Drosophila melanogaster: one gene and its partner. The protein of the gene in region 1 interacts with the protein of each later gene in a pairwise test. Each region holds a gene or a part of one and is shown in the gene's direction. Other genes may lie near its edges.

Region 1 (3,418 bases):
TGACAACGCTCCCGAATCGGGAGATGACAACATGGACGGGCAGGCGGGCAGCGAAGCGGCACCCAAGTAGATCCCTCTACGAGAAGTTATTGTTTTGTTCATCCAAATCGTTTTTAGGCACAATCAGTGCTGTTTTTTTTCTATTATCATGTATTTTTGTCCTAAGTCCTAAGTAAACGTAATTGAAAGCAAGCTTAAGGTTCACTATGTCTTCCGCGCTTTCTTGCGCTTTGTCTTCTCTGTGATTTCAGCCTGGCCATTGGTATCGCTAGTAATATACTTGAAAGCTATCTGGAACAAGCGCATTGACTGCGCTTTGAGGCGCGCATTCTCGGCCTGCAGCTCTTGCACTCTTTCGTCGCTTGTCTGTGCTGAGTCTGGCTGATATTCTGCATACGATTTTTCGGACTCAGCTTCCTTGGAGGCGGTTTCCATTGGCTCGGATTCAGGTTCTTCTTCTTCGACCTCGGAATCCTCGACATCTGTAGCTTTGGTTTCCGCCTCAATTCCTTCGTCGTCCTCGTTCTTTCCCGAACTCATGGACGCTATAAGTTTGAGTATTATCTCCTCATCCGTACCCGGATGACTTTGGGTGTAGTCCAGCTCCGGTGTCTTGCGTCCCCCGGAGTAGTCCGGATCGAAGAGCTCGATACAGTCATTCTCATCCCACGGACTAATCATTCGCTTTAGACTGTCGGCGAACATCTGCGGCTGCTTGTGTTCCGGCAGAAAGATGGCTGGGCTGAGCAGGCGGATATGCAGATTGGTTACCGAGCCTTTTTGGGACAGGCTCTTAATAAGTTGCCTGCTGCCCACGTCCCAGACGCAGACCTGATTGTCCTCGCCCCCGGAGACCAGAGTTGTAGCGCTTATATTCAGAGCCAGGCAGGTGATGGCCTTGCCGTATGTGTGGCCCACAAAGGCCTGGATTTCCTCCCCCTCTAGGTGATATTCCTGGGTAAGTAAAGGAATTAGTTGGCAAAGCAGTGGATAAACGAAATCTGGACTCACCTTCATGCGCGGCGCGTTTTCCATATTAAAGACAAACACCTTGCCGTCACTGGAGCCAACATACACCCTAGTTTCCATCTTGCTGACAATCACGCTATGCAGGGCCACTGGGAACACCACACTCAGCAGCAGGACGCCCCCGCACAGGTCATATACCTTGCAGCAGCGATCCAACGATACGGTGTACAGATAGGAACGGATGCCTCCGATGCCGGAGTATAGATCAGTGACCGCCAGACCGTGATCGTTAAAGCTGTACAACGGCTCCGTGCTATCCTTGCCCCCGCCCGTGTCCAGTGGGGCGGCGGAGAAGGTGAGATCCCAGACAAGCACAGCTCCGTCTTTGCCGCCGCTGATGAAGTGCTCACCGTTGTCCGTGAAGCGCAGGCAAGTGATCGCCTGGTAGTGCTTGGACAGGGTGTTAAGCATACGGCCGGAGCTCATGTGCCATAGATAGATGTTCTCCTGGATGCCGGCCACCAAGAAGTTCCCATCAGGCGTCAGGGCCAAGGCGTTGACCTTGCCGGGCACCACGAACCGCAGTCCGGCCATCTGCTCTTGCTTGTTGATGGGCCACACGTGGAGCAGTGGCTTGGCGGAGTTCGCCGCCATCACGTAGTTCAGGTGGATCATGTTCAGGCTGTGGTGCTGGGCGCATCCACCGCCCTTGTAGCGCATCAGGTCTGTGCCTGTCCGCAAATCCTGCACGCTGCATGTCGTGTTGTCCTCGCTGCTCGTGCTGATGAAAAGGGCCTCCACGGCGTCTTCCATGTTGTGATCGGGTTGAAATGCGCGACGTTGTTACAATACGTACCAATATTGTTATTGCATTACGACTTCTAAAGTTCAACCGGAAATAAGCGGTAGTTTCCTATCGATAAGCGAAACCATGATTTGTCTTGGCGTATCGACCAGTTACTAAAATAATCGATGTGGTTTTTCCCTTCGCGAAACTTGGTCACATCCAAATTCGGGACAAAGTAGAAATAATAATAATTTATTATAAAATAAAAAGTTAGCGGATTGAAGTAGTTTTTACTTGGCACTTGAGCAACAAAATGCACCTGACGCTGATCAATTTGTTCAAGAAGACTGTGCCCGGCCACATATTCCGGGGCAAGCGGCGCCTGGTGAAACCGGTCAGTCAGCGAGCAATGGACACCCTGACCCACGAGTACGAGCGCCAGGAGCAGGTAATGTTACTCCTCCGACACCCGTATCTCACCATGGTAAGTCCTGCTCTCTGTACGGATTGCCTCACCTAATGCCACACTTCCCGCCTGCAGGAGCAGTCATTCGGTCATGCCAAGGAGCTGCAGAAGCGCGAGAAGCTCGTTGCCAGATGGACGGACGAGCAGACACTGCGCAAGATGAAGCCACACGTTACCATCGAGGAGCGGCTGAACCAGCTGAAGATCAAGGAGGCCTGGGACTAGCCGTCGTCGCAGCTGCTAAACCGGCGTTATTTGTTAAATAAATCTAGATGTTATGGAAATTATATAATACCTGCTGGATAAGAGTAGTCGTTTCATCACCCGATTAGTTATATTAACATACAAGTTACTCCGCGAGGACTGACTACCAGCTTGCTATTGGTGTGTCACCTCAAAGGCATTATCCCAGTGGACAGAAATGGTGGACTAGGCACTCACACCAATCGATTTGAAAGGCAGTGCACTTGGCAAAGTTTCCACTTGATTCACTTAACGTTGTCTTCGTGTTTGGCGCTCATATCGCTTTTATTTGTTAAATTGCGTGTCTAAGTGTATATATCAATAATTCTTGTATGTTATGTATATGAACTGTTATGTACATATGCAAGGCATGTAACACGTTTCGTCGTTTCCACTTCCGATCGCTCGGACAAATCGCCATTATCAGAACGCTCCCAGCATCAATTCGTTAGTACGCTATAGACTAAAACTTTATTATTTAATGGATGTTTTGTCTGCTGTTTGCTGCTTCATCTTCATTTGTATTGGAGTTGGTTTAGTTTAATGCACACTTAAATTTCAATTCAGGGGTCTCACTTTTAGAAAGCAATTTCAACATTTTTCAAATTGAAAAATCATATTTTCCAAACGCCACAAGGATAGGGAATGGTCATCGGAATACTAGGGAGTTTAACTAGTTTTGGGGCGCAGGGGATTAGGGTTTGCTTTCGTGTCCGAGTCGCGCGCCTCTCGACAGCTTCTCGACTTGTTATAGCAATAATACCAATGGAAACGCCAAGAGATTGGTTGTAGCTACGAGGTTGCCTCTTCTCATTTGTCCTAAGTTTCGTTTTGTTTTTTTGTTACTATCATTTGCGATTTGCCTGCTTTTGGTTAATGATGCGCATAACCTCAATAAAACATTTGTAACAATTTTAAATTAACTTTAAAAAAATAGATATATGCATATTTGT
Region 2 (6,531 bases), 2.7 Mb from region 1:
TTGTGACTTCTATTCGGACATGCAAATGCGATTGGAGAGCAAGGATGTGGACATTGATGTGCTGGAACGGGATCTAAAGGCCAATACGGATGCGGTCATTCGCCAGGTGTCCACCGAAATCCGGAAACAGTTCAATTTGGAGCAGCTTAAGGCGGCCAAGGCCCAAATGCCTGCGAAGGCGACAAAGGCTACATAGTAATGATTGCCATTACAAACAGATGGACTGGCACATTCCCTTCACAAAGCAACCAAATATTTTTGGTCACAAAATAGCTTGTACGATTAATCTGTTCTTAATTAGTATTTAGGTATGTGTGCAAGAGACGTGTGCGAGTGTGTGTGTGTGTGTGTATAGGATAAGTTTTCAGGTATAGTTTTATCAGGCTTTATACACGGAAATGTTCGAAAGGAGGAGGTTCTTTCGATGCATAATACAGCATCGTTATGTCACTTTAATTAATAATATCTTTTAATGAATATTTAAACAACGACTTTTTCACATTCGATAAGAAATAAGCTTTGAATTGTATTCAACTAAGAACTCTTTTGTTTATTTCTGTTTTCAGACAGCTTATTTTTATATTTGTTATATTATGTTTTATATTTGTCCAAAACCTCCTACCTCGAATTTCCCAAAAAAATATCATTAAGATCGCGTATTTATATTTACCACTAGTTTTACATTCAGTTATGTTATCTTAATGCAAAAAAAAAAGGAAATCTACAAAAATAACAACAGCCATTATCCAATCGAAGAACTGCAGGTTCCCGAGAGGAGTTTCTTTGGTGGATTACCATCGGATTGGTTGGGTTTTTAAGGCCTCCAACAGACTGGAAAGACTGGCAAAAGAATGGGGATTGTCAGCGTTGCTCACAAGCAAACCGCTCCAGCCGCAATTCCGGGCACCTTCATAGTCCATATCCAACTTGTTGCCAATGTGAAGGGCCTGCTCCGCTGGAATTTGCAATCTCTGCAGCGGAATTTCGAAGATACCGCGTTCGGGCTTCATAACACCGGCTTCGTAGGAAGTCAGAATGAAATCGAATTTGCCGGCAAAGCCCATGGCGTCCAGGACTTGTGGCAGTGACGAATCGAAATTGGAGATGATGCCCACACATTTGCCGGCATTTCGGACGTTCTGCACCAACTCCTGGGCACCATTCACGTGACTCCAACAGGCGCTGGTCCGAAAAACGGAAATTAGCCGCTGGCCGATCTTCTCCAGCTTCTCGGGCGCCAGACCGTGGTCCACGCAGCTAAAGGTTCGAGCCACCAGCTGAAGCCACCAACGCTGCCAATCCAATCCCGGCGAGTAACGGCCAAAGTTTGGATGTTCGCTGCTCATCGCCTTGAATTGCTGGCGAAAGCATTGTTCCAATCGGCGGCGATCCACTCCGGTGACCCCGAACTCCTCTGCCGTCTGATGGTACTGGCGAAGGGGATCCTCCAGGCGAAGCAGCGTGTCCGTTACATCGAAGGTCACCAGGCGAAAGCGTTTCAAATTCGCAACAAATTGCGAAGTCAACGACATTTTGGCCAACAGTGTGGTATTGTTTGTCCACTAGATATTACGTATATGCATTTGGTATATTTTAATTTTCGAAAAACCTCCAAAAACACATTTGCTTAGTTGAGAATCGTTTATTGAATTAAATGAAGATGCTTTTCTTCATTTTAAAGTTACAGATTTTCTACTTGTATGAAGAGTTTATTTTTTTTTTTGAATACAAACAATTATTTGGAAATGCCGCAAAAATACATTGCCTAAATTCTGGTATTTTTCGCAACAACTGTACTGTGTGTATTTGTCGGCATATATTTGCTGCCCGCCGGCGGGCACACTAAGCCAAACGAAAATAATTTTGTTACAAAAAAAATCAACAAATCGTATTGTTAAATGGCCGTGCGAACACGAACGACCATAAATCCGCCGCAGCGCTCGATTTCAAATCAAATCCTCGAGGCAGTCGGTAGTTAATAATACCGCAGAGCGGCCAGATCGGGGGATATCTACCATCCATATCCGTGTATCCTCCAACTAGAGATCGGAGCAAATAGTGGAGGAGATCCCGAATAGATCCGGAGTTACGTGATTCCCGGCGACACGGATACGATTCTGGCTGGGATTGGGCTATTGGAATTGGTGTACTGCTAACGGCGGATCATCGATGCAACAATGAATGTTCACAAGCGGCCACGTCTGAATATGGAATTCGGCTCCTCCACCAGCAATACCAACACTTCCACATCCCCGTCCTCCGTAAATATCAGCAATGCGAATCCAACAGCTGGACCTGGCCTCATGACCATTACCAATCACCACACCGCTGATTTGTCAGAGGCCCTGGTCCACAGTTCCTTTGCCAATGGTCAGCAAAGTCTGATTCTCACCAGCGACACGGGAAATCCGCTGATGAATAGCCAAGGTGCTCAGATATTTCTCACCATTTGCGGAGACGAGAACTCGGACGATTCGCAGGAGTACTATACGATTAAACAGGAACCGGGATGTGATCTAGATATCCATTCGCTGCTGCCTAGCAATTTGCAGCTGCCCAACAATCTGCAGCTGCCCACTGGCTGTGAGATATATTTGGTCAAGGAAACCGGCAGCTTAATGGGTGAGCCGCCGACGAAGGCGGCCATCAAGCTGGAACTAGATACGCTAAGCGAAAAGCCGCTCCTTCCATCTGTTACAACTTCCTCCAGCACACAGTCCGCGGTAATAACCGCCCAGACCGTGAATCCTCCCATTCCAGGTAACATCAACACCACCACCAGCACCACTAGCACCACCACCACCACCAGTGTCCTGTATGGCTCCCATGGCAATGGTCATGGCCATGGCCATGCTCACGCCCAAGCCCGATCCCAGCCAGAATCAGCTGGCCAAACACCATCCAGCAAACTGGAGGCGTACAAGAAACGCGATGATAAACGTCGTGCCACGCACAACGAGGTCGAACGCCGGCGCCGCGACAAGATCAACAGCTGGATCTTCAAGCTCAAGGAGATGCTGCCCAGTCTGAGCTCCAGCTCCAGTTTCAGCGAGGCCAGCACGAGTCCCAGCACCAGCGGAAGTACGAGTACCAACGGAAGTAGCCATTCCAAAGGCAATGCCAGCAGTTCCAGCGGACGAGCGCCGCCCAATGACTCCAAATCGCAGATCCTGATCAAGGCATGCGAGTACATCAAGAGCATGCAGGGCGAGATTGACACGTGAGTGGAGACGGGTTTGTAGGGGGGAAACCACTGAATCAGAAATCCACAAATATTGTCCGCTATAAGTTGCTGTACTACAGTTATATATACAGCTATATAACTTTTTTGACTTGTTAATGGTCTTAAAAAATGAGTTTGCTTATAGATCTTAATCAACTCCATTCGCTCAATTGAGCTTACATCATGTATCGATCGCATACGGTTAGGAATAAAGTTACCCAAAGGGCGGACACTTGATCTTTCCCACTTTTTCCGTAGAAATGCGTACTTAAAGTGCTGATATAGGGCTGGTGTTATCTTTTTGCAAAACAAAATCCCCATTTTGGAGCGGTTCTTTTTCGCCACTATCTCGTGCAATATGAGCTGGACTCTCGAATGTCCCTGTGTCACTCAAGTCTTGAACACAACACTCTCTCACACTGATCGAATGCGGTTTCCACCCAAACAAAACCCAACAAAATCATACAAAGCCAATCAAACACCTGATCCACCGATTCACCGATCACCAAACATAAACAAACCAATTACTCAACTTTGTCTATCCCCACCAATAAACAGGCTGCGCGACTGTCTAAGGGAGACGGATAGCCTAAGGGCCAGCAACCAGGCGCTGCGCGAGGAACTTGATCGCCTGAAGCGTCAGCAGCAGCTCCAGGAACGCTTCCACACGGCCGGCGGAAGATCGACGTTTAATGTTACCCTAAATTCGCTGAACAGTTCCGCGACCAGTGATCTATTCGAGGGAATCGATACGACACCCAATCTGGCCGCCGTCTCGTCGCTGGGATTCGGCAAGCGTGGCCTGCTGATCAGCGATTTTGATGAGTAAACAAAATCTGCCTGCGAAATAGGAGTGGATAGACAAAAAAAAAAAAAAAAAAAATAGAAATGAAAAACATATGGGTGGACCGATTGGGTTGCTGGTTACGGGAATAAACAAATATGGAGGCGGCGGATGGACAAGCCCTGGCGCCTTCAACAAACATATACGCCCATCCACCAAAGAATGACGTGCAACGTACACGCAACGCAACACACGCAGTACAATAAACGGACATGACGAGTGATTCCTTGTTATCGCCGCTCTGTTATATGTTATATAAGAAAAGCAGCATATATTACATATGTGTATCGATATGTGTATATGGTTATGTATATGGCTATGTATATGCATGTACATATATGCAGTCGAACTTGGGTGACTCAAGCCAAGTTGTTGGCCTAACCGCTTTGACAAAAAGCTGTTCTCAATTGAGTTTAATTAACGAGCCACGGCACAACACAGCTGCTTTTGTATGTTATATGTATCTGTTATTGGTATTATTCCTAACCAACCCCCCCCTCCAAAAAGTGAGCGCCCAAAAAGAAAAAAAACAAATCATGAAAATAACGATCGAACGAATTTTTGTACCACCCCCATGCCGCGATCATTATCATATTTTGTTTAGAGTCTTGGAATATTAGATCACAAACAAATATTGTTGATAAGAAGCTTTAAAGCACGTTCTGTTCTTCCATGTTTTTTTTTTTCGTATTACATTATGTTTAAGATATACGTAGGTATAGTTGTTTTGATTTGCGCAGCGAATCTAGAACTATAACTTAGCCATGTTTCAAACAAACTCTTTGTGTTCATTCAAGAGAATTCACTATGTATTCACTTTCAACAAGAGATTGTTGTATTTAAATCGAAATATGTTTTTCAAAAATATCAATATTGAAATATTAGCAAAGTACAGCGCAAGATAAGTATAAGTATAAGTAATTTCTTGCTGAAAGTGAAAGTGGAAACTGAAGTGGTTAACAAAGTTTTCGATTTGTTGTTATACAGGAAATTAGTTGTAAGTCTGAAGTTTGAGTAACAAAAGTTCGATTGCACAGATGTGAAATGATTTATGTTCTCGGATCCTCAAGCGGTTTGCCATCATTATATACAAACGTACATACATACCTATGAATTACCCAGAAATACAAGCCTAGAAAAAATCTAAAAGCGTTAACGATACCTACCTATTGCATATATACCTTTAACTAAATCATATTTGGAGCATGTTTGTGCTTGATTTTTCGATTTTATTGTACTGTTTCTCGGCACTAATTACCTACAAAAAAAAAAAAAATGTAACGAAAATATACTATATCTAGTTATATCGTATATATATTATATATATATATAAATATATATGGTCTATATATATATATAGAGAGAGAGAGAGAGAAAGAGCGAGAGGCAAGTGTACATACGTAGTGCAGTCGGTAGAACAGTGGGAATTCGAGCGAGATGCGGCTATATAATGCCGCACTGCTCGCCGGGGGCGTGTGCACCGTTACAGATAAAATGCTATTGTTGATAAAGAATAATATTATATTATATTATATTTGAGCATAATGTTGTTGTGAATGTTATATCACTGTTTTCGATATACGACGCTGTTTCAGAAGTATAAGTATACAGAACAGAAGTGTTTTAAATACGATTCATTTGTAATAATGAAAATGCCAAAAAAAAAAGCAAAAAAAAAAAAAAAGAAATCAAACACACCAACCACACCAAAATACAAACACACTAAGATTCAGGATTTTAAGATATAAGATGGGGTACTGGGAATTGGATTATTTAACCCATGGCCGAAAACGAAATGGGATCTTGTGTTACTTGTTGCTATCTATATGCAGTACATTACAATAATATCACATTTCTGTCATTTGACAGCTAATAATTCTATTCAATTTCAATAAACGAACTCAGTAATGGTTAACACACACAATCAATTTCTCATTCAATGGAATTGTTGGCATGCGGGCATTGATTCTTTAGAAGAATATGGTGGTTTGTTCGCACAGCTGGCTTTCCATGATTCCATAAGTTCATATGTTCATATGTACATATGTACATATGTACATATGTATCAGCAAAAAAGCTGATCTCTTTATTGTAATATATTTTAAGGATTACATAGTGCTTAGATACATTGTGTTTACACAATCAGTCGCCTAGCGTAGTCGCCTACATGGAGTAGTCCGTGTTCCACTGATGCAATGTGCAGATTGGCTCCGTTCATATAGTGCACATTAATGTGGGGATTTTGGAGTTCAGAGATTAAAGTGGAACAGGCTGCTGCTGGATCCCCAGTGCTGATTAGCATATTCTGTAGGGAAATAAGCATTACAAATTGTAAACCTTAGTAGAGTCACTTCTTGCATACCGCCCAAAATTCGTTGCCAGGCAGGGCATTTCCATCCCAGGCGTATGTCACCACGGGCAACATGTCCTCCGTTAGTTTGTCTCCGGGATTTCGGACCGAATT

The links. Proteins that work in one complex are often made in the same cells at the same time.
Region 2: the proteins of CG14817 (region 1) and Usf interact in a two-hybrid assay, tested with the Drosophila melanogaster proteins (one large-scale study listed by BioGRID).

The regions. Positions count from the first base shown.
Region 1 is NC_004354.4:1,875,791-1,879,208, reverse strand, and holds CG14817 (uncharacterized protein), read left to right. Parts: upstream 1-1,938; 5' UTR 1,939-2,069; coding exon 2,070-2,240; intron 2,241-2,297; coding exon 2,298-2,447; 3' UTR 2,448-2,915; downstream 2,916-3,418. Other genes in the region: CG14818 (uncharacterized protein), read left to right, coding at 1-70; CG14805 (uncharacterized protein), read right to left, coding at 205-954, 1,012-1,782.
Region 2 is NC_004354.4:4,544,075-4,550,605, reverse strand, and holds Usf (Usf), read left to right. Parts: upstream 1-1,811; 5' UTR 1,812-2,177; coding exon 2,178-3,220; intron 3,221-3,781; coding exon 3,782-4,052; 3' UTR 4,053-5,989; downstream 5,990-6,531. Other genes in the region: CG11436 (uncharacterized protein), read left to right, coding at 1-196; CG15912 (uncharacterized protein), read right to left, coding at 792-1,532; CG3568 (uncharacterized protein), read right to left, coding at 6,202-6,372, 6,430-6,531.